Ovis aries: one gene and its partners. The protein of the gene in region 1 purifies or fractionates together with the protein of each later gene. This does not show direct contact. Links are inferred from orthologs where the notes say so. Each region holds a gene or a part of one and is shown in the gene's direction. Other genes may lie near its edges.

Evidence for each region.
Region 2: the proteins of UPF1 (region 1) and NCBP1 purify together in Homo sapiens (co-immunoprecipitation; 3 studies listed by BioGRID and IntAct, with this or other methods). This does not show direct contact. The link is inferred for Ovis aries from reciprocal best matches to the Homo sapiens genes UPF1 and NCBP1.
Region 3: the proteins of UPF1 (region 1) and MAGOH purify together in Homo sapiens (affinity purification with western blotting; 3 studies listed by BioGRID and IntAct, with this or other methods). This does not show direct contact. The link is inferred for Ovis aries from reciprocal best matches to the Homo sapiens genes UPF1 and MAGOH.
Region 4: the proteins of UPF1 (region 1) and MOV10 purify together in Homo sapiens (affinity purification with mass spectrometry; 3 studies listed by BioGRID and IntAct, with this or other methods). This does not show direct contact. The link is inferred for Ovis aries from reciprocal best matches to the Homo sapiens genes UPF1 and MOV10.
Region 5: the proteins of UPF1 (region 1) and SLBP purify together in Homo sapiens (affinity purification with western blotting; 4 studies listed by BioGRID and IntAct, with this or other methods). This does not show direct contact. The link is inferred for Ovis aries from reciprocal best matches to the Homo sapiens genes UPF1 and SLBP.
Region 6: the proteins of UPF1 (region 1) and EXOSC2 purify together in Homo sapiens (affinity purification with western blotting; 3 studies listed by BioGRID and IntAct, with this or other methods). This does not show direct contact. The link is inferred for Ovis aries from reciprocal best matches to the Homo sapiens genes UPF1 and EXOSC2.
Region 7: the proteins of UPF1 (region 1) and ILF2 purify together in Homo sapiens (affinity purification with mass spectrometry; 3 studies listed by BioGRID and IntAct, counting the BioPlex papers as one, with this or other methods). This does not show direct contact. The link is inferred for Ovis aries from reciprocal best matches to the Homo sapiens genes UPF1 and ILF2.

Annotation. Positions count from the first base shown.
Region 1 is NC_056058.1:4,158,461-4,161,995, reverse strand, and holds part of UPF1 (regulator of nonsense transcripts 1), read left to right. Parts: intron 1-1,592; coding exon 1,593-1,710; intron 1,711-2,110; coding exon 2,111-2,267; intron 2,268-2,455; coding exon 2,456-2,598; intron 2,599-3,535. UniProt on the Homo sapiens protein: RNA-dependent helicase required for nonsense-mediated decay (NMD) of aberrant mRNAs containing premature stop codons and modulates the expression level of normal mRNAs.
Region 2 is NC_056055.1:50,020,829-50,024,926, reverse strand, and holds the start of NCBP1 (nuclear cap-binding protein subunit 1), read left to right. Parts: upstream 1-1,292; 5' UTR 1,293-1,598; coding exon 1,599-1,632; intron 1,633-4,098. UniProt on the Homo sapiens protein: Component of the cap-binding complex (CBC), which binds cotranscriptionally to the 5'-cap of pre-mRNAs and is involved in various processes such as pre-mRNA splicing, translation regulation, nonsense-mediated mRNA decay, RNA-mediated gene silencing (RNAi) by microRNAs (miRNAs) and mRNA export.
Region 3 is NC_056054.1:27,774,304-27,778,456, reverse strand, and holds the start of MAGOH (protein mago nashi homolog), read left to right. Parts: upstream 1-1,353; 5' UTR 1,354-1,423; coding exon 1,424-1,511; intron 1,512-4,081; coding exon 4,082-4,140; intron 4,141-4,153. UniProt on the Homo sapiens protein: Required for pre-mRNA splicing as component of the spliceosome. Plays a redundant role with MAGOHB as core component of the exon junction complex (EJC) and in the nonsense-mediated decay (NMD) pathway.
Region 4 is NC_056054.1:90,086,472-90,090,006, forward strand, and holds part of MOV10 (helicase MOV-10), read left to right. Parts: coding exon 1-42; intron 43-229; coding exon 230-488; intron 489-1,797; coding exon 1,798-1,932; intron 1,933-2,550; coding exon 2,551-2,719; intron 2,720-3,535.
Region 5 is NC_056059.1:117,526,871-117,530,893, forward strand, and holds the start of SLBP (histone RNA hairpin-binding protein), read left to right. Parts: upstream 1-1,202; 5' UTR 1,203-1,282; coding exon 1,283-1,341; intron 1,342-1,462; coding exon 1,463-1,579; intron 1,580-4,023. UniProt on the Homo sapiens protein: RNA-binding protein involved in the histone pre-mRNA processing.
Region 6 is NC_056056.1:5,933,747-5,937,999, reverse strand, and holds the start of EXOSC2 (exosome complex component RRP4), read left to right. Parts: upstream 1-1,445; 5' UTR 1,446-1,462; coding exon 1,463-1,584; intron 1,585-3,212; coding exon 3,213-3,314; intron 3,315-4,253. UniProt on the Homo sapiens protein: Non-catalytic component of the RNA exosome complex which has 3'->5' exoribonuclease activity and participates in a multitude of cellular RNA processing and degradation events.
Region 7 is NC_056054.1:104,112,157-104,116,454, reverse strand, and holds the start of ILF2 (interleukin enhancer-binding factor 2), read left to right. Parts: upstream 1-1,481; 5' UTR 1,482-1,532; coding exon 1,533-1,537; intron 1,538-2,229; coding exon 2,230-2,289; intron 2,290-2,496; coding exon 2,497-2,539; intron 2,540-3,107; coding exon 3,108-3,212; intron 3,213-3,585; coding exon 3,586-3,663; intron 3,664-3,971; coding exon 3,972-4,074; intron 4,075-4,298. UniProt on the Homo sapiens protein: Chromatin-interacting protein that forms a stable heterodimer with interleukin enhancer-binding factor 3/ILF3 and plays a role in several biological processes including transcription, innate immunity or cell growth.

The DNA of each region.
Region 1 (3,535 bases):
TCTTTAAATGAATTTTTTTAATTATTTAAAATTTTGGGGTTTTAAAATACAATAAATATCGGTAGTTGTAATGCACAGAAATAATAGCTGTTTGGACTGCTCCGCTTTCAGAGTGTAGAGAGATGCTGAGCGCACCATTCGTTTGAGAACTGCTGGTTTAGAGTCTTGTTAATGCCAGCAGCCCATCACACCGGCTTTGTTTAGCCCACTTTGTGGATGAGGAGACTGAGGCGGGACGTGTGAGTGCCTGTCCGCGGCACGCGGCTGCTGTGCAATACGGTCCCGACCCTCGGGGTGCTGCTGGTCTGGTGGGTGGCAGGACCAGGAAAGGCCAGGTCACGAGGAGCTTGTTGGGGGCGCCGCCACCGGCACTGGCACAGACTCCCGCTGGCCTTGCTCCACCTTCTCCACGGCGTCGGCTCCACAGGGTAGAGGTTGCTGGCGATGCTTCACTGCTGGACCGTCAGTGTCTGTGACATGGCACCCCCGAAGTAACTTTTTAAAAAACTCTGAGGAGTGTAAAGAAGTGCCAGGCTTAGTGAGTTTTCATTAGGGGACCGTGTCTGTTACCAGCGCCTGCACCTGCACGCTGCCTCCCCAGCACCCTGCAGCCCGGCAGTGAGCCCTGTCTGGGATGGTGCTGGCGCCCTGCCCCGGGGTGGCCGACATCAGTGGTGTGGGCGTATCTACAGCCTGGAAATTAGCCGGCACTGGCTAGCCCTTGCCTTGTCCCTGGCAGGTGGTTAAACATTTGCCAGCGCCGAGCTTGCTCTAGCCACTGCCCTCACTTGAAACATCGAGTCTTTGCCTCATTATCAGCTTGACATAAAAGGGATCATACCGTGTGTCCTCACAGCTCAGGCCCTTCCTTCATCTGTGGTAGTCTATTTTGGTGCAAAAATTCCAGTTTTCTTATATTAATCTGATTAGGTGTAACTCCAGTCAGAAATTCCCAAAAGAATGGGTGGACTGTCTGATTGGATAGACTGATTTTCAGCATCATAAGGACTTGCAGAGGACTGAGCACTTAAGATGAGCATGAAAGAGCTTGAGGATGGTGGCAGCTCATACTTGGGGATGTCACGAGCTACTGTCCAGCTGCAGTCCCAGAGACGCTGCACACAGGGCCTGAGAGAGTCCAGAGGCAGACCCGCCTGTCCACAGGCCCTGGTTTGGGACAAGACGTTGGGCATCAACAGTGTCATTGTTAAAAGCCAGGTGTGGGTGCATATGAGTCCCTTAAGGTACATCATAAACCTTCTGAAAGAAGATAGAATATCTTCTTTACCCTGGGGCAGACATAGGCCACAGAAAACACTTAACAGTGAGATCTGTTCTGCAAGTAAGCCAGCTTTGTACCAGGTATAGTGCTAAGTGTTGCTGGGAGTTTCGCTCAGAGGACCCCCGCCGATGGCCTCCCCTGGGACCCACAGACCTGGGGCAGTCGCTGGAGCCTGCCCTTTCCTGCTCTGCCGTGTGCCTCTGCCCAGGATGGAGTGGCCTCCACTCCGCTCTCCACCCCAGCGCACCCAGACCGGCCGCGCTTTGCTTCTCTAACAGGATGTTTTCTTTTTTCTCCTCCACGATGCCAGCGGATCGTGTAAAGAAGGGGTTTGACTTTCAGTGGCCCCAACCGGATAAACCAATGTTCTTCTATGTGACCCAGGGCCAAGAGGAGATTGCCAGCTCAGGCACCTCCTACCTGAACAGGTAAGCAGAGACTTGTCTGTGGTGCCTGCTGGCCTCAGGGACAGCTCTCCCCGGGACTGCGCGCCTGTGGTCTCGTGTTCTGCGGTGGCGAGCCTTGTCCTGGTTCCCTTGCGCTCATTCTGTTCCCACTCTCAAACCAGCAGCGTGGGTCCAGCCTCATCTTTTCAGTGTCTATTTCCTGTTGAGCAGATCCTTTAGGAGCCCCCGTGTGAGTCTTTTCTGTCCCTCCTGACTCAGCTGGTAAATGGTGGGCTGCCCAGCCACGGGTGTGCCAAGCAGGGCCTCCATAGGGTTGTACTGGAGGCGAGGCTGCCCCGAGCCTTCCACAGCCTCTAGTCCTGGGGGGTGGTCTCAGGAGCCCAGAGATGGAGCCTGGGAAGTGAAAGCCTGACTTTCTTAGGACGGAGGCTGCAAACGTGGAGAAGATCACCACGAAGCTGCTGAAGGCGGGCGCCAAGCCAGACCAGATCGGCATCATCACCCCCTACGAGGGCCAGCGCTCCTATCTGGTGCAGTACATGCAGTTCAGCGGCTCCCTGCACACCAAGCTCTACCAGGTGCGTGCCCGCCTGCTCCGCCGGGCCCCGCCCCAGGCCCTGCCCTCCACCACCTGGCAGCGGGGGGCCCTGCCGGCTTCAGGTCCCAGGCTCATCTGTGGGATTCAGTGGTGCATTTAGATAGACTGTGCGGGCTGAGGGCTCCTTGGAGGAAGCCTGTTGGCTGACCGTGCTTACTGCCCCTGTAGGAGGTGGAGATTGCCAGTGTGGATGCGTTCCAGGGCCGTGAGAAGGACTTCATCATCCTCTCCTGTGTGCGGGCCAATGAGCACCAAGGCATTGGATTTTTGAATGACCCCAGGCGCCTCAACGTGGCCTTGACCAGAGCACGGTAGGGAGAGCTGCATATTGCAGGGGCGGCCCCTCGTGCGTAGGAGGCTTTCCAAAGTGCTGGGAGGGGTTGGCCTGAGAGCTGCTCCCGGCCTGCTTCTCTTCCTGTCAGCTCTCACACCCCAGCCGCGCCTTGGGCTGTGGCACGGGGCGCGGCAGAGGGCTCCCAGCAGCAGTCTGGAGAGGACCTCTCACCCGTGAGTGGTCTTTGTTTCTGTGTCCTGGTGGCTTTCTGTCCAGTTGCCTTGTTCAGCTCTGGAATATAACTTTCGAAATAGTGAGGGACCCAGAGAATCAGGTGGACCCCATGTCACCCCCACATGAAACCAGATAGCAGCCACCCTTGTACCAGCTGCAAGTGGGACTCACATTCACATGTTGGTTCCCTCCCCACTGAGGGCACCTTGCTTTTCATTTGGTAGCCAGCATAGGCGGGGAGCCCCGAAACAGCTGATGAATGTAAGCTTTCCCCCAGAAGCTTGGCTTGGGCATCAAGTGCCCAGCCCATCAGAATGCCTGAGGCAGCTGTGGAGTCTGCCCCTGCCACGTGTGACTTAGTTGCCCAGGAGGCTGACTCAGGTCTGCAAATGAGGAGACTCGTCTCTGAGTTCATTTTCCCACAGAGATGTTTTGACATCTGGGCTCAACAGAAACCTGCCCTCAAACCCATGTGCAGGGTTGGCAGCTGACAGGATGGGCTCCAGTGAAAGTCACCCCAGTTTGCAGTTACCCAACCATCCCCAGCATTCCCAGAGGGCGCTGCATAGGCAGGCCAGGCGTCTAGGCAGGGAGGTTGAGGGTGGCTCTCAATGCTCCTGTGGGCTGAGAAGACAGGGGCATGGTGGGCAGGGTGCCAGGGGAGCTGCCTGGGCACCTTGTACTTTCAGTTCAGTCTCTCAGTCATGTCCGACTTTTTGCGACCCCATGGACTGCAGCAC
Region 2 (4,098 bases), on another chromosome or scaffold:
GCCATGAAATTTAAACAGTTAGAACTGGACATGGAACAATAGCATACTCCTTGGAAGGAAAGTTATGACCAACTTGGATAGCATATTCAAAAGCAGAGACATTACTTTGCCAACAAAAGTCCATCTAGTCAAGGCTATGGTTTTTCCAGTAGTCATGTATGGATGTGAGAGTTGGACTGTGAAGAAAGCTGAGCGCTGAAGAATTGATGCTTTTGAACTGTGGTGTTGGAGAAGACGCTTGAGAGTCCCTTGGACTGCAAGAAGATCCAACCAGTCCATCCTAAAGGAGATCAGTCCTGGGTGTTCATTGGAAGGACTGATGCTAAAGCTGAAACTCCAATACTTTGGCCACCTCATGCGAAGAATTGACTCATTGGAAAGACCCTGATGCTGGGAGAGATTGGGGGCAGGAGGAGAAGGGGAAGACAGAGGATGAGATAGCTGGATGGCATCACCGACTCGATGGACATGAGTTTAAGTAAACTCCAGGAGTTGGTAATGGACAGGGAGGCCTGACGTGCTGCCATTCATGGGATCGCAGAGTCAGACACGACTGAGCGACTGAACTGAAGGAAGAACAGATTAGGCCAGGAGAGTGAAACAAAAGTTCCATTTCAGAGATGTGAAAATTTCATATGGCTAAGGACCAGGCAGTTAGATACGCAGCCATAGCGCTCACCAGAGATGTCAGAGCGAGGGATATTCAAATACACGTATGGAGGTACACGATAAGTATTGAAAACGTTACTAAAGCAATCACTCGTTCTTTCCTAAACCACAAGTCAGAGGATCGAGAGATCAGATGACGGCCAGAGAGTAACCCTGGAGTAGCTGGCTCACGCTTCGGAGGGTCCTTCTGTCCCCGGGTCGCTGGAGCCGCCTCGCACCCCGGCCTCACCCCGCGCTCCGGGCTTGGCCTAATCTCTCCGCCCAGCTTTCCCCAGCCGGCAAAGGCCGGGAAGTGGGAGAAAGATGAGCACGTACCCGCCCGTCCTGATCCTTTCTCAGATCTCTCTTCACCGAGCAGTCTCCGCCTAGCAATTGCCACCGCTCGCAGCCCTCGCACTCCCAGCCCCCTTCTGTATTTAGGAAGGAACGCCGTACCGCACCTCGCTCCGGAAGTTAGGCCGTTGGCGAAAGGGCCGCCGGGAAAACCCCGCGGAGGCCCCGAGAGAGGGGCTGAAGTGGAGGTGAGGACTAGAGGGTCCCTCCTAGACGACCCGCCTCCGGGCGTGGCTCGCGGCCTGCGGGGTTCGGCCTGGCGGAAGAGGCGGTGCTCTCCGCGTGGCCCCGGAAGGGCTTTCAGCGAAGGCGGGCGAAGGAAGCAGCCAAGAGGGGGAGGTAACCCGAGAGGGTCGCTGCGTGCTGGACTGAAGCCACCGGCCTGGTGAGCTTCCAGAGCCGGCTCTCCTGGATCCGAGCTCGCGGAGCCATCCAGCCATCCTGCCTTGTGCTTCCGGGAGCCGCCGCGACCGACAGCGCCTGCGCGCCGGCCACTCCGCGCGCATCGCCGCTGTCCTCCCGCCAGCCGGCGGCCTGACGGTTCCTGCCGCGCTTCGTGACCGGTGTCTCAGCTCCGCGGAGCACCAGCGTGCGGCATGTCGCGGCGGCGGCACAGCGACGAGAACGATGGTGAGTGCCCTAAGCCCGGCCGCCGAGGCCGCGCTCAGGTGGGCGGAGGTTTGGCTTCCCTGGTGTTCGGGTCTCGAGAGAAGGGACGGGAAGCCCTTCCTCTAGGAGCGTTCAGGGAGCCGCGTAGAGAAGGGGGTGGCACGGCGGGAGTGCGGCCGGGCAACTTTGGGAAAGCCCCTGCTTCCCCCGGTCCCAGTTCCTCAGTCGTTGGCCACGGGGAGGCCTGGTGGACCCCGGTCCCTAGGAACTCTTCAAAATTTGGCTCTTAGCATCGCCGAGCAGGGAATTACACCTGTGTCTGTGCCTCCGCTTCTTAGGGACCTATTCAACCCAGTGTCTCGTTTTGACCCTCAAATTGCACTTAAAAAGGACTCTCAAAAGATGAGAGATCTGCTGAGTCCCGATCTGAGCTTTCTCCTGTTCCCGTCATCCGTCGTCTTGCCTTCTTCCAAGCGATAGGGAAAGAAATCGGTCTTATCCACACCCAAGAGGTCTCTTAAGAAAGAGATGTACGTAGATTGTTGTGTTACATTTTGAGCTGAGTGTAAGCATAGTTCCCTCGTGTAATAGAGTGTTGGAAGACTAACTGGAGAGCTCCTAGAGATTTCGATCAACCATTTGGATGGTTGAGCTCATGGGGATCATGGAGTTGCCATGTAATAAAAACCAAGAATAATTTTGCTAGCTAAAAATAGAAAAGATATTTATCTTGCAAAAATCAGTCAAGAAACAGAAACACATCCAACAAACAGAAAACCTAACAGTTATTGTTACTAATAGTTTAGGGTATTGTTCTTCGAGAAGAGTGTAGTTTGGTGGTTAAGAGGCCAGACTTTGGAATCAGAGGACTTTTCAAAGCCAGACCCTGCTGTTTACTTTGTGATCTTGCCTGGGTTATATTACCTCTTTAAACCTTACTCTCTAACTTAGAAATAATGATACGAACCTTTTGGTTTTGTGAGAGGTAACACATGTAACTAATTGCTCGTGAAGATGTGTATTTTATCACCTGATAATGCTTAAGAGCTGATAATCATTGGCAGATGGTGACTCTAATAAAAAGTACAGAACAAAAAAAATTGAATTAATTTTCTCCACTGACATTTTTCTCTCCTTGAATGTTGGGGTAACTTAGGGGTAGGAGCAGAATCCCACTAATTTAAGGTTTTTTGTTTGGTTTGTTGGTTTGGGTTTTGTTGCTGTCTCTTTTTTTGGCCGTGGTATAAGGATCTTAGTTAGGGTTAGGGATTGAACCTGTGCCCCCTGCAGAGGAAGCACTCAGTCTTAATCACTGGACCACCAGGGATGTCCCCCACTTAGTTTTAATAGTGTATCAGATTTCTCCTAGAGCTTGGCTTGGGAGGATATTCTACCCCAGCCTGCTCACCTCACACCTGAGGTCTACAGTTTTAGTGTAATTAACATGGAGACAGCATTAGCAGTGCCCAGATACCAGTGAAAGCAAGTTGAGAGTTACATTACACAGGTATTCCTATGCTGTATCTTTGATTTTTATTAAACACAACATAATGTACATACAGGGCACAGAAAATAGTTTTCGTGTGCTTTGTATCTGATTTGTTAATTTAATCTCCTGGAAGTCATCGCTTGGGATTTGGAGAACTTGGGTCTTTTAAAGTTCTTCCCATTGTCTTTGTTCTTCTCATGCTTTCTCTACTCTTTCATCATCTCCTTTCTAGGGTATCCCTAAAGGGAGAGAAAATCTTTCCAAGGGGCATCCTGGAGAATTGGATGTAAATTTGTAGAAAAACAACTTTTGCTTTGGTTATTGGGATGCTGGTATAACGTTCTTAGGAGTTAGCTTCTGGCAGCTAAATCACTGTTCATTTGGTGCAGAAATCTCAGAATAAATAAAGACAAAACAAAATAAGGAGTTAATTAAGCAGCGTTTACTATAAATAATTTAGTAGTTGAAGGGCAGTTTATAACCCCTCTTAGATACTACACCAAGTCTGGAGCTTTCGTAAATTGCCACAATTTGGGTAATCATCAGCTAGGGTTTATTCTAAATGGTGATCTGAGTCACATATTTTAGGTAACTTTCTTTTGGTTAAATGCCTACTAAATTTTTTTTTAAACCAGAAATTTTGAAAACTTAAGTATTATAGAAGGCTGTTTTAAAATAGGCCAAATTTTTGTTGTGTTAAATAGATGCATCTAAGCATTTCTGGATTATTGTCAGCTCTTACCAGTCCCTAACTGCCATGACTCTCTGTGTGCTTGACTAGACACAGTAATTTATTCAACAAATATTTAACAGTGCCAGGCACAGTTCTAACTCCTGGCAGTACAGCAGTCGACGATAAAAGGTGCAGTCTCACTTTTACAGGCAGAGAACAATCAAGTAAATACAGTGTATCATATGGTGTTAAGTATGGTGGAGAAAAATAAAACCAGTTAAAGAGGGTAGGGCTCTTGTCAGGGAGGAGTTGCTGTTTTGTATTG
Region 3 (4,153 bases), on another chromosome or scaffold:
TACTGGAGTGGGTTGCCATTTCCTTCTCCAATGCATGAAAATGAAAAGTGAACATTACTATGCTCACTTTAAAGATAAGAAACCTGAGGTCCAAAAAGTTTAATCAGTTCACCTTTGGTCACAGTGAATCACTGTCACACGAGGGATTATTTTAACACAAATCTCCAGTGACATTCCCCCCACCCACCACCCCAGCACCCACTCTTCATTCTATTATCAATACTTTTTCGGGGAGAAAAGTAGTAACGGCAAGATTGGGAATGAGATTCAGGGACGACGCCAGGAGTCGGACACTACTGAGCAACTTCACTTTCATGCATTGGAGAAGGAAATGGCAAGCAGCCTGAAGACAGAATAGTGCTATAGTCGCGCGTGCTCAGTCGCGTCTGACTCTTTCGCAGGCCCTCAAAATGATGCCATTTCAGCACTGTCTCTAGAAACAAATCCGTTTTCCATTTGGCTGGAACTTAGACGAGCTAAAGCAGGTTTCTAATAAGAGTTTAGTTGCCCTTGGCCTAATCAAGGAGGAAAAAATTTTCCACAGCCGAGAAAACATTCGCAGTCAACCACTTAGGCCTGAAAACACACGAGCTTCCTGGACAGTAGTTCACAGTCCTGATTCAAACTGCGGAGAAAAAGTAAACACCAACACACAGGTTCACTGTGGATGATTTTGGCTTTATTGGTTTGGAACCAGTATTTTTTAGGTGCTCCGTCCGAGGCGATTCAATTGCGCGGATGGAGTGGGAGATCAAACATTCAAAACTTAACTCTTACTCACAACAACTCATCTAGAGACCAGTGAGGCAAAAAGGGGAAAAAGTGAGGTAGAAAGAGATAAAATGGAGAATAAGTGCGGGAGAGTTAGTTGCAAAAAAAAAAAAAAAAAAATGGCAAGGTCCACTGTGGATTTAGGGAAAGCGTCGCTGAGAAGTTTCTTGAACTGATTTTTAAACAGCAGAGTTCAGTCGGAGCCAACGTTAGAGACGCGCCGCGCCGCGCTGCGTTCTCCCAAGAGGTCGGATCCTTTAACCCTGTTTTACTGATGGGACGACCTAGGTTCAGAGACGGTGAAGGGCCTATTTCGACTCACACTGTTGGGTATCCTAATTGAAACTGGAGCCTGGGCCTCAAGCCCAATGGGGATACTGACGAACAGCCCTCACCCTCTCCCAGTCGCAGGCCGAGGGGGCGGAGCTGAACAGACTTCGCCTCCGGGGGAAAGGGGCTTTATTCCGGCGGGAAGGGAAAAGTCGCCTGGTCCCATCTCCGGAAGTGGGAGGAGAGAGGGAGTCGCTCCGCGACGCACGATGACGTTTCCTAACGTCACTTCCTCGCGCCGCAGTAAACGTCAGTGTTGGGCGCCTTTAGCGGCGGTGCGGATTGCTCTTAAAAGTTTGGTCTTGTCTCCGTTTTGCGAGCCATGGAGAGTGACTTTTACCTGCGTTACTACGTGGGGCACAAAGGCAAATTCGGCCACGAATTCCTGGAATTTGAGTTCCGGCCCGACGGTGAGAGAAGCCTCCCGGCTCCCCGGGAGCGAGGACTATGCCTGGGGGCGGGAGAGTGGGGGGGCCGGGGATCCGTAATGTACGAAAAACTAGAGGAAGGGACCAAGGGTGTGAGGCGCCGATTTGGAAGGAACGATCCTTGTCCGCCCCACTGATTCTTCCTGTCCGTGTGCTGGGGCTTCTGTTTAGTGACGATTTTGACCATATTGCTTTATTCAACGAACCTTTCTTGAGCACCTATCTGTGCCAGTCTCACTTCCACAATCTGGGGTGTAGGAGTGAACGATAAACAAGCTTCCTCTCTCGTGGAGCTTGTATTCTTTTACTGGGAGGTCGTAAACAAAAAAATATCCCAGATAGTGTTGAGTGATCAGAAAATAAAATGATGGAACAATTGCTGATGGGCCGCTTTAAGGAAGGATAGCTATTGGAGAACTCGCTGAAGAGCCGGTGTTCGAGCTGAGCTCTGATTGACAAAGAAGGAGCCAGCTCGGGAAAAGAACATTCTAGGCAGAGATGAGCTAGGCATGTTTCAGGTGGCCATTGTGGCTGAAGAGCAGTGAAAACTCCGGGGAGAATAGTAGGAGATGATGTCAATTAGGTAGGCAGGGGCCACCTCATACAGTCTTGGTGAGTTTGGATTTTTTTTTCTAAGTGCAGCAGGAAGCAATTGGGAAGTTTTAAGCAGAGGTGTAATCTATTTTTGAGAAAGTATTGTAATTATTAGGTGCAGAATAGGCAAGAATGAAAACTACTTAACAGGAGATGGTTACAGTTGTTAAGAGAAAAAGGATGTTGGTTAGAACTATAACAGGAGATGGTTACAATTGTTAAGAGAAAAAGGATGTTGGTTAGAACTAGAGTGATAGTAAAAGTAGAGAAGGATTTAGGATACAGTTGGAGGCAGAACCAATAGGACTTTGCCAATTGATAGGATTTGGTGAGGGACCAATATGGTGAAGGAAAAGGAGTGAAAGATGGCAGAAAGCTTCCACTAAATGAAGGCATAAAAAATGAGCTTCTTGTAGTTCAGTTGCTAAGACTCTTTGGGACCCCATGAATGAACTGACAAGCCCAAATTGTGGAGAAAGTTATGTTAACAATGATAAGACAGTGTATAAGGTGTTGTAGAAAGAAACAGAAAAGACTCTGGGAGTGGAAAGAAGGCACCTAACCCATACATCGTTTACGGGTGAACTGTATTTTGGTTAACTCCAGCTCTGTGTGAGAGTCCTGTTGTAGGAATGAGGCTGGAAATGAGCTCAGCTTAGCCGGAAGCCACATTGAGGATTTTGGACTTTATCAAGAAGGTAGTGGGGAGCCGTTGTCAGTATTAAAATGTCAATATTAGAGTGACCCAATTGGATCCATCTGTTACTGTTTCACTCTGTCCACTCTACGGAGAATGAACTGAATGGAGAGAGACTTGAGGCAGAGACACAGTGCAGTAAGGCATCAGTTGTTTTCACTCTTTTTAGTGTGCCTTCTATAGGGAAAAAATTATCTCCTTTATTTCCTTTTATCTTCTTCATATCCACCATATATACCCAAATCAGCCTGTTTGATGAACAATGTTACAGAGGGCCTTGTATACCAAAAATGCTCAATAATAAAACCACAGCTTTTCTATCATGTTTAGAAAAGGAATAGATCAGTGTTTCACAGTCATATGTAAATATATGTAAAAACCATTTTATAGTTTTCAGAAACTTTCACAATTCTTTTGAGCCTCTGAAGGCCCTGTGTGTAGGTAGGTTATCAATCACTCCTATTTTCAGCTGAGGACATTAGCCAGCTGAGATACAATTTGCCAGTCACAAGAGTCTGTTCTTTTATCACACCTGAGCTGTCTTTTGCAAGAATTGTAAATCATTGTCAGCTGTAGTTTTGGCTAGAAGGTTATTTAATAGTGTTCACTGGGGAAAAAAAATAAATAACTTAAAGTTTGAGAATTGTTTTATTTAGTGGAAACACTGGGGACATAAGCCTGGGAGACAGGCTCTCAGATAGCTTTGAGGGACTATTCTGAAGAGGTGAGGGATGAGCCAGGATATATAGGAGGTTTTAGAGGGGAAAAAAAACCCAAAACAAACAAAAAACAGGTAGAACATCTAAAGGTTACTGTTAATAAAATACCAGACATCTAAAGTTAATGAAGTTAGCATTTTTCTTTGTATGGGAGGATGCTGGGCTCTTTGAAATCATTCCTTTGATATTCACCTTAACTGTCCAGGACCAGCATCCTGTTTTCAACATCCTGAATCCCCTCAGAGTGCACCCTTGGGGAAGGGGCTGGGGGTGGTGTGGCTGCAGTGGCTGATGGCTTAATGGCTTCAACAGCCTTTGTTTACTGACAAGGCAGGTGGCATTTTTTTGTTCACCAAAGCCTAAAGTGAAAAACTGAAAAGACTAGTGTTGCTGAAACACCAGAGGGGTAAATACTAAAACTATTAGACACTTTGAAGGGTAAGTTAGGATACATTTTAAGCAATAGCTGATAGTCTTGGTAGGCTAATGACGCTTTCTTTATGTTTTTATTATATATTGAATTTGTTTTTTGTCCCTCACAGGGAAATTGAGATATGCCAACAACAGCAATTACAAAAATGATGTCATGATCAGAAAAGAGGTAATGAATCTTC
Region 4 (3,535 bases), on another chromosome or scaffold:
TCTGCAATGGAGACCGGGAGCTGCCCTGCCTCCTGGGCCCAGGTGAGTGGGCTCTCAAAGAGCCTCTGGTGGCCGGAGGCCTGCCCTAGGAGGGTCTGTTGCTTCAGGAATGTGCTGTTGCAGGCTGGTGGGGCTTGCCTTGGGTAGGGGCTATCTGGGGGATGTCAGGGTTGGGATGCTCCTGGGCAGCTCCCTCCCCAACCCGACTCACTTAGCTGTCTTCTCCTAGGTGAATGCTATGAGCTCCATGTTCACTGCAAGACCAGCTTTGTGGGCTACTTCCCAGCCACAGTGCTCTGGGAGCTGCTGGGCCCTGGAGAGCCAGGCTCAGAAGGAGCTGGCACTTTCTACATCGCCCGCTTCTTAGCCGCCGTGGCCCACAGTCCCCTGGCAGCACAGCTGAAACCCACGACTCCCTTCAAGCGGACCCAGGTCGCTCGCAACCCTGTGGTGACCAGCCGGATAGAGGAAGGAGAGAGACCCGACCGGTAAGTCCTCCGTCCAGCCCAGTTCAGGCTCGGGGGTCCCTCCCCACATCACCATATGGGCCCCTTTCCTGATGGTGAGTTCTTAACTCCTCCAGACCTCAGAGACCTTTTCTAAGAAGAAAAGCGGATATGAGGACAGTGTGGAAGTTTCAAGTATTTTTGACTGTATGATGCATTATCAGACAGCTGGGGTGGTCGTGTTTCTCTCTCTTCCTCTCCCCCTCTCCGTCATAACAGCTTTATGGAAACAACTTCATACTATACAGTTCATTCCTTTAAAGTGTACAATCTGTGATTTCCTTAGCATATTCACAGTTAGGCCCTACCATCATCACAATCCATTTTGGAACATTTCATCACCCCCAAAAGGAGCCCATACCCTTTAGTTATCACCCGTTTTGTGCCCCGGCCCCCTCGCCTCCTAGCCCTCACCAACCACTCATGTACTTCTTTCGATTTCCCTCTTCTGGACATGTCATGTGAATGGAATCATAGGTGTAGACATCTCTTTTTAATATGTCCAGGTGTTCACAAAATACTGAGCTATAAAAGCAAACTGTGAGACCACTGTGCTCTTTCTGCTACAAATATATGTATAGGGGAATTCCTTGCGGGTCCAGTGGTTAGAACTTCAAGCTTTCACTGCAGGGGGCACAAATTCTATCCCTCATAGGCAACTAAGATCCCACAAACCATGCAGGGCAGCCAAGAAGTTAATTAGTTAATTGGCTAATTAATTTAAAATATATTTGTATAATACATATTGACAAAGAAAAATGTCTGGAAGGTTACATATCAAAAAGTTAACAATGGTTATCCCTGGATGGTAAGCATGTTGTTTATTTACCCATTTATTTATTAATTACCTAGTTTCTGATTTTTTTTTCTCTAATGAACATATATTGTTTATATATGTATATATATATATAGATAACCTCACAGCTTGTGAGATCCTAGTTCCCCAACCAGGAATCAAAGACAGACCCCCTCTGCCATGGAAGTATGGGGTCCTAACCACTGGACTGCCAGGGAATTCCATATAGTATATATATATATATTTTTGTTTTGTTTTGTTTTCTTTTAATGCTTTCAAGTATCATGCTTTCTAAAAATGAAAATGGTCCAGCCTTGGCATGAGCAGCCTCGTGAGACAGTGAGTCCTCTCTTCTAGGGCAAAGGCTACTGACCCCTTTCAGCAGTAGTATCGAAGCAGGGCTTTGTGCCTAGCCCAGGGAAGGGCCTTCTCAGAGTCTCTGAAGGTGAAGGGTCTCTGTGTTTGTAATAGCTTTTCTTGTCCCCCCTCCTGCAGTGCTAAGAACTATGACCTGGAGTTCAGTTTGCCACTGGGAACATACTACCCACCCCTCCGCCTCAGACAGCTGCTCCCCATCCTTCTTCGGGGAACAAGTATTTTCACTGCCCCGAAGGAGATTGCTGAGATCAAGTAAGTACCATCCGTCTGCACCCTTCACACTGCTTTATATGTTTCTTCTTTGTTCACTTCCTATTTCTACCCCATGCCTCTGTCCTCAGCCTCCCATGCTCAGTTCATTCATCCCCTGACTGGCCAACACACCATGTGTCAGGCTGCATTCAAGGTGAATCACTCACATGAAGGCCCTGACATTGTAGCTGGGGAAAGTGAGCATTTCTCATCTTATGTAGTGATGAGGACTATGAAGAACTAACCAACGTTAAAGCAGGGTAAGGGGTGGGCTGTGCTGTTCTGCAGAGGACAGCCAGTCCTGGCCTCTTCGAGGAGGTGACATTTGAGCAGAGAATGACATTTGAATGGGGTGAGGGTATGAGTCATGGGAGGATCTTTGAGAGAGGGTGTTTCCGGCTCCAGGATCCACAATGCAGGTCTGAGGTTGGCGGGCAGGGACTCTCTTCTTAGAGGCCTCTGACCCCCATCTGCTTCTCTGCTCTTCTAGTCTTCCCTGATTCCTGACGTTTTCATAGTCTCAGGGCTGCAGGGGGAGAGGTGCTCCGGGACATGGGGTTTGCCTGACCCATCCTGTTCCTATCCCTCCCCTCCCATCTCCCCACCCATCACTGCCAGGGCCCAGCTTCAGACAGCCCTGAAGTGGAGGAACTATGAGGTGAAGCTCCGGCTGCTGCTGCACCTGGAGGAGCTGCAGATGGAGCACGACATCCGGCACTATGACCTGGAGTCAGTGCCCATGACCTGGGACCCCATAGACCGGAACCCCCGTCTGCTCACCTTGGAGGTCAGGGCTTGGGTTGGTAGTAGGGAGGATGGACTGAAGTTAGCCAACCCACAGACTGTGGGCAGAACAAAAGGATAATGACGCTGTTCCTGTCCCAGAGGGCTCAGCAAGTAGCAGAATAGGCATCTAGGCCCCCGAAAGAGGCGTCAGAGCAGGGTAATAGGGAAGACGGGGGTTTTAGCCCAGACTTGGCTATCACTTGGCTCTGTAACCTTGGGCAAGTCTTTCGCTATCTCTGGGCCTTAGTTCACTCACCTGAAAAGCATGGAGCTGAACTAGATGATTCGTGTTCTTTTTTGTTTATCTGTTTGGGGTTTTTTTGGCTGCACTGGATCTTCATTGCAGTGTGCAGGCTTTTCTTGTTGCAGCGTGCAGGCTTAGTTGCCCTGCAACATGTGAGATCCTCGTTCCCCCCACTGGGGATCGAACCCAAGTCCCCTGCATTGGAAGGTGGATTCTTCACCACTAGACCACCAGGGAAGTCTGGAAGATAATTCTTAGAGACCTCTCCAGCTCTCAGATGTTGAATGTGTATCCATAAGTCCAGAATTGCACATGAGAATGGATTCCTGCACCCATGTTCTGAGAAAGGCACCAAGTGAGAAAAGACAGCAAGTGAGGACGATCAGGGAATGTTTCCTGCAGAAACTGAATTTTGAACAAGATTTTACAGGCAGAGTAGAAACTGAACTGGCCAAGAGGGCAGCTGGACTTACTGGGAAGCTGACCCCTGGCTCTTGAAATCGTGCCCTGGAGGGTTGCCAGGACTCCTGGACTCAGCATCTCTGAGCAGCTTGGGCAAACTTGTCCCTTCCC
Region 5 (4,023 bases), on another chromosome or scaffold:
GAATCTGGGACGAGGTGCTGAGGCAAGGAATACTTTATTCTGAGAGCCTGCTGACTGAGAAGGCGGCAGACTGTCTCAAAACAACCATGTCATTCGGGTCGGGATGCCAGATTCTCTCATAGGTCAGAGATGGGGGAGGTGAGGGAACCGTAAAAAGGCCGGTAATCTTGCAAATATCTCCTAGGATTGCAAGCCTCAGGCAGGGTATATGCTAATTTCTTCCTGCCTTCTACTGGTGGACAGGGTTCTGAACAAAAGGCACTTTAGAGTCTGGCAGAGAAGCAGGGTTCTCTGAGGCAGGGTTTATGTATGATTGTCAAAACAGTTCCAGCATGGAGTGAGAATTGGCTTTTCCCTAAAACATGGACTGTAGCCCGCCAGTCTCCTCTGCCCCTGGGATTTCCCAGGCCTGGAATACTGGAGTGGGTTGCCGTTTCCTTCTCCAGGAGATCTTCCCAACCCTGGGATTGAACCCAAGTCTCTTTTATCTTCTTTATTTGCACGCAAGTATCACCACCTAATGCCTGGAGACTGGCCAAAGGCCCAGCCCAGTGAGGGGGGGTAGGGAAGGGAAGGGGTATGTGTGTGTGAAGAACGTGACACAGGCTCACGGGTTGTGTGTGTGTGTGTAAACAACGTGACATAGGCTCAGGGGTCTGAGCATCTGACGCCGGCAGCGAGTTTTCGGGGCGCGAAGCCTGCAGCCCGAGGCTGCCTCCTCTTCCGGGTTCCGGGTTCCCGCCAGCGCGGACAAAGTCCCTGGCGTGCCGACCAATCGGAGAGCGCCCCAAACCTGGGCTCGGCCAATCGGAGGCGCGCGCTTTGCCCCCTCGGCGCGCCCGAGTCGCCGGCCGCCGAATCTCCCGCCAATACGCCTACCCTCCCCCCCCCCGCCCCGCCCGCGAAGGCGCGGCCAATCAGCGTCGAGCGGCCCGGCGGCCCGGCCGCCTCCATGGCGGAGGGGACACGCTTCTCTGAGGGCCTCGCCTCAGTCTCCCCGGCGGAGCCCCTTGGCCGCCCGGATGGCAGCGCGCGGGGCAGCGGGTTCGCGGCGGCCGCCCCGGCCTGGGCCGCCTGCGCGGCGCGCGCTGCGGCGGGGCGCCCCCTGGGCCGCGGCCCGATGGTCTCGCCGGCGCGGCGCGCGCGGGAGCCTGGGGGGCGGGGCGGCGCCCTATAAGCGCGGCTGGGGGCGGGGCGCGCGCGTCAGTCGGCGCCGCGCGGAGAGGAGCTCGCGCCCGCCGCCCGCGCCGCCGGCCCCGGGAGCCCCGCTCGCCGCCTCGCCATGGCCTACAGGCCGCGAAGCCCCGCCGGCGGCCAGGACCGTCGCGACCACGACGCCAGGTGAGGTCGGGCCGCGCGCCGGGTGCTCCCGGGCGGGCGCGCGGCGGGCGGGGGGTCCGGGCGGGGGTCCCGGGCGGGGGGTCCCGGGCCGGCTCGCTCTGACGCGGTCTCTCGTCGCCAGCCCTCCGCCCCCCGCGCGCTGGAGCCTCGGACGCAAGCGCACGGCCGACGGGAGGCGCCGGAAGCCCGAAGACGCCGAGGGCCTCGCAAGGCCGCCCAGCGGCCGCAGACCCGACAGGTGGGCCCGTTGCGGCGGCTGGGGGGGGGGGGGGGGCCTGGGCGGAGGTTCCCCGCACCTGGCTGACCGGCCGGGCTCGGGGCGCCCCTGGGTCCCCACCCCTGACGAGTCCCGGCCCCTGTGCGTCACAGCAGGACCGGGAGGCCCCTGAGGATCCGAGGAGGCGTCTCAGTGACGGGTGTCAACAAAACTGGGCTCAGTCTCAGGCAGCGGGCCCTGCTAGGTGCCAGGGGTGGCCTGGAGGGCCGCCAGAAACTTCACAGAGCGTCCCAACAGGGCGAGTCAGGCTCCCCCGAGAGAGTCAGGAAAGTTGGGTGTTGCAGCAGTCACAGAAGGTGGGCGCCAGGAGGCAAACCAAGACTTAGGCTCCAGGACCCTGCGTCCACCCTGAGGCTCCTGAGGCGCTTTCCCCTCTGAGGAGCCTTGGCCATTCTCATGCAGCTTGCGGTTTACTCGAGTGTTTTCTAGGCGGGGCAGCGTGCTGGGGAGGTCAAGACACTGCCAACCATGGTTTTTTTTTTTTGTTCTGCTTATACTCTGACACAGGTGGGTCAGCAAGTCAGACGAGGTATTTCAGGGAAACGAGTGGCTGAAGAGTACACGCAGGGGGTGTCCGGTGGTGAAGGCCGGCGTGCTCTTCAGATCCGTGGTCTGGCAAGGCCTCCGTTGGGATGAGCTGGGAGGTGGTCCCTTGAGGATCCACACACCAGGGCCCTCAGGTGGGGATGCATTTAGCTAGTGTGAGGACTGGCTAGAGGAGGACAAGGGTGGGGCCAGCTGCCATGTCAGGCGAAAGGGGCGGTGAAGACTGCCCAGTGGAGATGGTATGAGGAGCGTGTAGCTTCGGGTAGGCTTCCAAGGCAGGACTCTCAGTACTTGCTGATGGGTTGAGGGGCTGGTGCCGGGAGGAGTCAAAGACGACCCTAGCTTTGAGACCTGGAGACCTTGGTCTCTTATGAAACCTTGTTACCGGGATGAAGAGGATGGTGTGGACCAGACCTGGTCTGCGGAAGGAATTAGGCTTTAAGTTTTTCAGATGAGTAAAGAAAAGATATTGAGAAAGCAGCATCTAACAGTCTGGGTTGGGAGGCACAAACTGAGTTATCAGCACACACGTGACTTTTAAAGTTGTGAGAGATCTGGGAAGGATCTTGGGGCAAGATGTGAGAGGAGGAGAGGCTCTAACAGCCCTGGGGCTAGATGTGAGGAATAGGTTATTGTTTACTTGCTAAGTGGAGTTCAGCTCTTTGTGACCCCTTGGATTGCGGCACTCCAGGCTTCCCCATCCTTCACCATCTTCTGGAGTTTGCTCAAACTGATGTCCATTGAGTTAGTGATGTCATCCAACCATCTCATCCTCTGTTGCCCCTTTCTCCTCCTGCCTTCGATGTTTCTCAGTGTTGGAGTCTTCCAATAAGTTGGCTCTTCACATCAGGTGGCTAAAGTATTGGAGCTTCAGCATCAGTCCTTGAAATGAATATTCAGGTTTGATTTTCTTGTTGTCCAAGGGACTCTCAAGAGTCTTCTCCAGCACCACAATTTGAAAGCATCAGTTCTTTGGTACTCAGCCTTCTTTATGGTTCAACTCTAACATCCATGCATAATTACTGGAAAAACCACAGCTTTGACCGTAAGGATCTTTGTTGGCAAAGGGATATCTCTGAGTTTTAATACAATGTCTAGGTTTGTCGTAGCTTTCCTTCCCAGGAGTTATTGTCTATATTAATTTCATGGCTGCAGTCACCATCCTCAGTGATTTTGGAACCCAAGAAAATTGTTTCCCCATCTATTTGCCATAAAGTGTTGGGACCGGATGCCATGATCTTAGTTTTTTGAATGTTGAGTTTCAAGCCAGCTTTTTGACTCCTCTTTCATCCTCATCAAGAGGCTCTTTAGTTCCTCTTCACTTTTTGCCATTTAAGTGGTATCATCTGCATATCTGAGGTTATTGATGTTTCCCTGGCAGTTGATTCCAGCTTGTGATTCATCCAGCCCGGCATTTCGCATGATGTACTGTGCATATAAGTTAAATAAGCAGAGTGATGATACACAGCTTTACTGTACTCCTTTCCCAGTTTGGAACCAGTCCATTGTTCCATATCCGGTTCTAACTGTTGCTTCTTGATCTGCATACAGGTTTCTCAGGAGGCAGGTAAGGTGGTCTGGTATTCCCATCTCTTAAGAATTTTCCACACAAAGTCTTTCAGGTAGTCAATGAAGCAGAAGTAGATGTTTTTCTGGAACTCCATTGCTTTCTCCGTGAGCCAGTCAGTGTTGACAGTTTGATCTTTGGTTCCTCTGCCTTTTCTAAATCTAGCTTATACGTCTGGAAGTTCTTGATTCACATACTTTTGAGGCTTAGCTTGAAGGATTTGAGCATTACCTTGCCAGCAGGTGCAGTGAGCACAGTTGTGCAGTACTTTGAACATTCTTTGGCATTGTCA
Region 6 (4,253 bases), on another chromosome or scaffold:
AGAGTCAGACATGACTGAGCGACTGAACTGAACTGAACTGAGCCCCTTCTCCAGGCAAGGAGGAGGGCAAGTGTCTGGCTGTCCACTTACTGATGACCTGTGAGCAATTAGAATCTATATAACTGACTACCTTACAGGGTTGGCTTTCTAGACAAATGTAGTTGTGAGCCACGCTTAGGTGAAAGAAATGCTATCCTTTTGAAGATTTACCAGGCTATTGGTCTGATGGGTCTTCAGGAGAAAACAGACTTAATTTACTGGTCTCAGTGAGTGGTGCTGATGCAAGTTATTTTATTTCATCCTATTTAGAATCCCTGTACTGGGCTGTGCTGTGCTAAGTCACTTTAGTCTTGCCTGACTCTGCGACTCCCGACTCTGAGACTCCACAGACCATAGCCCACCAGGCCCCTCTGTCCATGGGATTCTCCAGGCAAGAATACTGAAGTGGGTTGCCGTACCCTCCTCCAGGGGATCTTTCCGACCCAGGGATTGAACTCGTGTCTCTTATGTTTCCTGCATTGGCAGGCAGGTTCTTTACCACTAGCGCTACCTGGGAAGCCTGCATGAAGAATTATCACCTCCAATTCCCTGAGGTTGAAACTAAGTCTGTTGCGAATGCTATAAAGCATGCAGGGCCAAGGGTGAGGGAGAGGGTAGCACCTGGGGAGAGGGACAAGCGAAATACTCCTGACGCCTAGATAAAACCACATATCCTTCCATCTGTTCATCACTGAACCCTTAGGACAGCTCCTGGCTCATTTCACTGTGTGAGTAAATGTACGCGAAAATCTTTGTATTGTGTCCATTTGTCCTCCCTGACAAAACATACCCGCTTGGCAAGATTTAAATGTGTTCTTAGACGGCTTCTTGCTTTTTCCAAAAGAAATACCAGGGAAATCAGCTCGCTTAAGAAAGAATGGAAACAGCACCTGCAGCACTGTTTGGGGGTGTAGATGATGGTTGGTGCTGAACTAGCACTCACGAAGTGACAGTAATGTAGAATACAGGGGCTACTAGTAACAGTACGAAAAGAGACTCTTTCCTCTGTCCAAATAGTGTTTTCTCCTCTTGATCCTCCTGGTCAATCGCATACCAAAGAAGAGAGATTTCAGCAGCTTTGAATTGGAAGGAAACTCAGAGGCCCACTTCACAATTATTTATAACCCTGGAAAACAGTAAGTGAGATGAGCACAAGAGTTTTGCTGAAAAGTCGAACGCTATGCAACCTGAGATTTTATTATTTGACAAGAGCAGCCTTGCCAATAGTAAAAATGGCAACTTGACTCCTTCCTTCCCTTCGTGTTAACCTAATGGTTGCCAGTAGCCAACATGGAGGCCAGACCGTGAGTTCCCGTTGGCGGCTGTTCTGAGGCCCCGCCCCTATGAGCGACGGCTGGAAATTGCGGAGACGGAAAGCGTGACTCCGAGTGGGGCTGCGCCTGCGCGAGTTATTGGCGCCAAGATGGCGTTGGAGATGAGGCTTCCCGTCGCTCGGAAGCCTCTTAGCGAGAGCCTGGGCCGCGAGAGTAAAAAGCACCTAGTGGTGCCAGGGGACACGATCACCACGGACACAGGCTTCATGCGGTACGTGGGGTTGTGGGGACACTGGGCGGCAGGGGCGGCTGCATTGCTCTCTTTCCGCATCAAACCTGGGCCTGTGTTCTGCATCTAAGTGCTCGCGGTACCCGGGGCGCATCTGGGAGCATCTCAGTTGCCTCGTTTTCGAGGCTTCGGACTTCCTACTTCCTGCTTCTTGTATGTCCCCGTCTGTAGCTGCCTCAGCTCCCCCGAAACCTTCCTGTCCCGATCACTGGTAGCTGTGACTCGTGGGTCCTGTGCCTCAGGCCCCGATTCTGAGGCCTTCCTCGTTGAACCTGCAGCTAGGGCCTCCTCACAGGTTTCGGCGGAAGGGATGGTGGGCGTTTTTGACTTCTTCCACTTAGCCCTCAGCATTCCGTCTCCTAGCCAGGGGCACGGTTTTGGAACGAGCCATTGCTTGGGCTTAAAGAAAGTGAAGTCGCTCAGTCGTGTCCGACTCTTTGCGACCGCATGGACTGTAGCCTACCGGGCTCCTCCGTCAATGGTATTTTCCAGGCAAGAATACTGGAGTGGGTTGCCATTTTGGGCTTAGGGGGCATGCAAATATATTATGTTACATGCACCAGAATAGGTAACTTTGAGTCTGAGGGCAGGCTCCAGCTTAAGGGCAGCTGGGGTTCCGGTCCTGCTGCCGTCACAATATTAGCTGTATCACCTCTCCGAGGTCAGTTTCCTCGTCTGTAAAATAACTATTCCAGAGAATGGTGAGGATTCCATGAAAGTGAAAGTGTGGAAGAGTTAGTCCCTCAGTCATGTCCGACCCTTTACCACCCGGTGAACTGTAGCCCGCTAGATTCCTCTGTCCATAGAATTCTCCAGGCTAGAATACTGGAGTGGGTTGCATTCCCTTCTCCAGGGATCTTCACCACCCAGGGATCCAACCCAGGTCTCTGGCATTGCAGGCAGGTTCTTTACTGTCTGAGCCACCAGGGAAGGATTACATGAGGGGTAATGATTATGAAAAAAAGTAAGACTCACCATTCTATCACCATCACAGTGGTCAACACTACTCATACCTCAGGCAGCCTCTGCCCTCCCCCCATATGCATATGAGAGAGGTACAGCGTTTATTCCATTGCCCTTTAACCTCTTAGTTTGGGATTATTGGTTCCCAGGAAATCTTAAGATTCAGTCCTTTATTCATGCAGTCCATAAATATTATTTGTGGTTGGGGTATAAACTGAACAAAGAGGAAATCTCTGTCCTGGTGGACTTTATGTTCTGAGACAGACAGATGAGAAATAAGCACAACAAACAAGTTATTTAGAATATTTGCTGGTAAATGCAGTAGAAAAGAATAAAGAAGTGAGGCAGGGTAAGTGGAGCATAAGTTGGAAATATGGTGGGGATGGCAGCCGCAGGGCGGGTGACTATTACAAATGGGAGAGTTGAGGAAGGCCTGGTGGAAAAATGCCATTTGAGTCGACTTGAGTACAGTGCAAGAGATGGCCACGTAGGACTCTAAAGAAGGAGTGTTTAGGCAGAGGTGGCAGCCAGCAGAAAAGCCTGTCTTTGAGGCAGGAGGAATCAGATTTGAGGAACACATTGTTCTGGCTGCTAGAGGTCACCTCAAATATTACCCTGGTATCCTTTGTATCTTCCTGTTGCAACAGGGGCCATGGAACCTACATGGGGGAAGAGAAGCTCATTGCATCTGTGGCTGGCTCTGTGGAGAGAGTAAACAAGTTGATCTGTGTAAAAGCTTTGAAAACCAGGTGAGAGCAAAAGGTGTGTATTTTGTGGCATCTGAGTTGCACAGCCAGGTCTTTTCTGCCATGACACACCCCCTACCCCCAGCCCTGCCTGCCCTGTCGTTCTGTAGGGCTGGGATTTCGGGAACATGACTGGAGGAAGGGTAGAGATGACTGTAGGTAAGGGTAGGCTTCAAAGGTTTCCCTACGATATCTGACCTCTTCAAACTTGGGTTCCCTCTCCTGCAAAATGAGACCTTGCCTGACCTCCTGGGTAGGATTTTCCTTGGAATTCACCGAAATAGTGTGTATAAAGTACTTTACACAGAGAGCCGTCTGCCTTGAGGGCTCAGTAAAGGTTAGCCCCAGAACATGAGCCAGTGGGGTTGGAACAGAGTGAGCAGGCGAGTAGTAGGAGCAGATGCAGAGAGGTGAGGTAGGCAGTCTGCATGCCCTGCAGCCACGATAAACGTTTCTGACTTCCACTCTGTGCGGTCTAGGAAGGCCCTGGAGCAGAAGGACCTGATCCGCCGCCCTCTGTTTTAATGGAGTCACTCTGGCTGCTGTTGGGGGCGGGGGTGGGGCAGGGTTAGGGAGCCAGATTCCTGCTCTGTTCTCATCATCTCGGTTGGTGGTGGCTTGGACTAAGGTGATAGCCATAGAAGTGGGGAATAGTGATCAGTTCTGCGTGTATTTCGTGTTCTGCGTGTATTTACTGTGAAAAGCTGTAGGATTTTGTATGTGGGCTTTTCTACACGTAGGACTATGTCTGTGAGAAGAGATCGTTTTATTTCTTCCTTTGGGGTGCTTTTTATTTTCTGCCTACATTGGTAAGGTAGAGGTCTTAGAATCTGCTGCTGGACCTGTCCTGGAGCAGGAGAGAGAGGGGAGGAGGGAGATACACACGGTTCCTCCAAAGACTCCAAGGACTGTGGCTTGAGCAACCGGAGGGGTGGAGTTGCT
Region 7 (4,298 bases), on another chromosome or scaffold:
GGAACTCTCAATTGACAGAAGCAGAGAAGGAATAATAAACAGTAATTAATGCAAAAGAAGGCAAGGAGGATAAACAGGATTATAGGAAGGACAAAAAGCACCTTGGAAGAAAAGTTATGACCAACCTAGATAGCATATTGAAAAGCAGAGACATTACTTTGCCAACAAAGGTCCGTTTAGTCAAGGCTATGGTTTTTCCAGCGGTCATGTATGGATGCGAGAGTTGGACTGTGAAGAAAGCTGAGCGCCGAAGAATTGATGCTTTTGAACTGTGGTGTTGGAAAAGACTCTTGAGAGTCCCTTGGACTGCAAGGAGATCCAACCAGTCCATTCTAAAGGAGATCAGCCCTGGGTGTTCTTTTGGAAGGAATGATGCTAAAGCTGAAACTCCAGTACTTTGGCCACCTCATGCGAAGAGTTGACTCATTGGGAAAGACTCTGATGCTGGGAGGGATTGGGGGCAGGAGGAGAAGGGGACGACAGAGGATGAGATGGCTGGATGGTATCACCGATTCGATGGACGTGAGTCTGAGTGAACTCCGGGAGATGGTGATAGACAGGGAGGCCTGTGCTGCGATTCATGGGGTCACAAAGGGTTGGACACGACTGAGCGACTGAACTGAACTGAACTGAATATGAATTGATGTAAATGCAACCACAGTATATCCATATACTTGGCTGTGAAACTTTGCATAAAGGTGGAATCCGCCAGAGAGGTTGTAGAATGAGGAAAGGAGAGGAAACGACAAAAAATGGCAGCGGTCTGGTCCTTCTCTCCTGTCGCTTCCCTTGCCCTCCTTTTCTGAGCTCTCTTTCCAAAGGCTGTCTCAGTTTCCCTTCTAGTCCCTCACCATCAGTACTTTCCCTGAGTCAATCAACATACATACTCATATCCGTTTCTTCTGCTTCAGCCTCTGTGAACCACATCCAGACATGTAGTGTTCACAGTCACCCAAAATCCCTTCCTACATGATTTCGGTTGCCTTTTCCATTTCACTCGCTGATGGCAAAAACAGCTTTTAAAGGCTGCATATTTTGAGGGAGAGAAAAGTAGGATTACGGTAGTTACATTTACTGAAGAAATTTAAAACAGAAAAACTGTCCCAGGAGAAAAAAATTAAAAAAGCACCGCTAGCAGAGGATGGTTTCGATCCATCGACCTCTGGGTTATGGGCCCAGCACGCTTCCGCTGCGCCACTCTGCTGTTGCCGTTTTCACCCCCCAAGAATCATAGAAAGGTCTCTAGATGCCAGCCACACTAATTTCTTTACACAGCGCTCTCTAGTGTCTGCAAAAGGGCGTTAACGTCTAACCTGTTCTTATTGGCTAGTTACTGACAGAGCAGGCCCTTTTCATTGGCTCAATAAACCGGTTTGCCAAAGCAAACCAATAGGCACAAGCAGCGGAGTACGGCGGGAGCCAATCGCGCTGGAGTTTGTTGGGACACGCCGGCAAGCTGCCTCTCCAGTTGTCGGCTCCCCAGAGGAAAGGGGCGGTTGGTGTGGCCTCCATTGTTCGGGATCTAGGACGCCATGAGGTAAGGGTTGTGGGGTGCCCTGGAGAGGTTTCAGGTATTCGACCGAAAACTTTAGGAAGTTGGTCCGAAAGGAGTCGGCGGACTGGAAAGGGCCATGTACCTGGGGGTTGCACGGAAACCTGAGAACTCCGGCTCTAAGAGAAGGGGAGGTCGGGGGCAGTGGAGGCGGGGAAACTTGGCCGGGGATGGGGGGTGGGGCCCAGGAGTCGAGAGGCGGTTCCGACTGTTCGCTCTCTGGGGGGTTCAGATGAGAGGGTGTCCTCAGGTTCCAGGAGGAGCACCCCCACACCTCCTATTTAGACTGAGATGGCTGGAACGTGTCTCATTCATCCTCAATGCCAGTTGCTTGACATACACGATACGCCTGATAGATGCTTTTACTACATGAACGAATGAATAAGCAGTCACATTAGTCTGCGAAGTATTAGGGTTGGCGGGACCCGGCGATTATGGGATGTTTCTTGTAGGGCTCTCTTTAATGTGGTTTGATGTGAATCAGTTATCCAGTCATGGGGAGTGAGGCTGGACATTTGGAAGGTGTAGAAGTGTAAGTGAGAATGGGATCCTTTGGCTTCCAAAGGGAAGTGCAGAGCGATAGAGGTAGGCTAACCTGAAATCATACGGCCGGTACCGAGGAGATTGCTTCAATGAGATGAAAAGAAAGTTAAAATATGTTAATAATGCATTTCTAGGGGTGACAGAGGCCGCGGTCGTGGCGGGCGCTTTGGTTCCAGAGGAGGCCCAGGAGGAGGGTGAGTGCCAGTCCTTAGCATCTGTGCCCGTTGGTTTCCCTTTCAGTCATCTAAATAGGAGTGGAGTATCTTACCTGCCTTGTTGAGATCCAGCTGTAGTTTAGAAGTATTCTTCTCATGCTCTCTTGATAAATGAGTTTGGCCCCATTATGTGAAGTCAGTTTGATTTATGTGGTGAGTAATCTGGATTGTTTTTCCGCTTTTTAGGTTCAGGCCCTTTGTGCCACATATTCCATTTGACTTCTATTTGGTGAGTACGGTGTCTCTTCCCTGGTGGCTAAGAGGTTAAAGTGTCTGCCTCTAATGCGGGAGACCTAGGTTCGATCCCTGGGTGGGGAAGATCCCCTGGAGAAGGAAATGGCAACCCACTCCAGTATTCTTGCCTGGAGAATCCCATGGACGGAGGAGCCTGGTGGGCTACAGTCCATGGGGTCGCAAAGAGTCAGACACGACTGAGCGACTTAACTAACTTAACTTTGGCCACTATTCAATTGTTGTTTCTTGGAACCTGGTGTCTCCCTGTTAATGAAGTCATGTGGTAGTTGGAGTAGAAAAAGGGAAGTTTTGAGTCATCTGTGTTGCTTTACATACAAAAAAGTATAACCTGGGTGGGGAAGATAGGTCCTTCATTACAATCGACAGTAACATGATTATAATCTTTGTTCTGAACAGTTAATTGTATCACTGCCTTGTCTGTTAATATTAGGGTCACAAGAGTATAAGTGTTGTAGAATTATCTCTTTTTTTGTGTTGTGGCAACAGAAAAATCTGTTGCATATTATTTTTGGCAAGTAGTATATAGTATATTTCTTGTTTAGTGTGAAATGGCTTTTCCCCGGGTCAAGCCAGCACCTGATGAAACTTCCTTCAGTGAGGCCTTGCTGAAGAGGAATCAGGACCTTGCTCCTAATTCTGCTGAACAGGTATATTCTGTTGGTTTTCTTCCTGAGATTTCATGAAGGAAGCTAGAGAAGTAAATAGCTACTTGGTGAGATTACTGTTGTCAGAGCCTGAACTCCACAGGTTTAATCATTCTTATTTTTCATTGTGTGTAAAGGGAGAGCATCAAGTGAATGTATAAACAGATTACATGTGCGTTCATATTATTATTGGGGAATCTGTCGTTGGGATCAAAGTTTTCTCTTCTGGCATATTCAAGGCTGGGAGGGTCTGGGTGCTTTCAGAATCCGGTATAGGTGTTGATTCCTATTGAAGGAATTGGGGAAATAGTCAAACTTGATGAAAAGTTGCTTGGTATTTCACCTGAGGGTATTTTTGTTTCCTGCTATTTTTCAGGCCTCTATCCTTTCCCTGGTGACAAAAATAAACAATGTGATTGACAATTTGATTGTGGCTCCAGGGACATTTGAAGTGGTGAGTTTTTGAAGATCTAGTCCTAGGAAAGGGAAGTCATGGAAGTGTGAAAGTTTCCTTGGTTCCTGTCGCTTGATTCTTCAGATGCTTATTTAAAGCCACTCTTGGAATGGGAAAGTACAGTAGAATTCCTTTGTCGTGCTGGTCTTAGGGACCAGATTCATCATTGCTATCAGCTAGCTGTAATGAATCAGGCTTTTCATTGCTCATTTTGGAATATGATTTGAACTCTGCTACTTCCAAATCTGGGTAATAAGCTTCTCACTTGTAAGTTTTGTTTTTTCTTTCTTAAATCCCTTTTCCAACAGCAAATTGAAGAAGTCCGACAAGTCGGATCATATAAAAAGGGAACGATGACTACAGGACACAACGTGGCTGACCTGGTAGTGATCCTAAAGATTTTGCCAACATGTAAGTGTGCCTCTCTTTGGCCACAGCAGCAGAACATAGCAGTTGGATTTGAGGCATAGGGATTTAAATGGTGTGCTGTATGTGAAAGAATGTATGACCAGTTACTGCAGGACGGACTTTGCTCCCCAGGGGACATTCAGCAATGTCTGGAGATGTTTGAGGCTAACGTCTTCTGGTAGAGGCCAAGGTTGCTGCTAAGCATCCTGCAGTGGACAAGACAGACC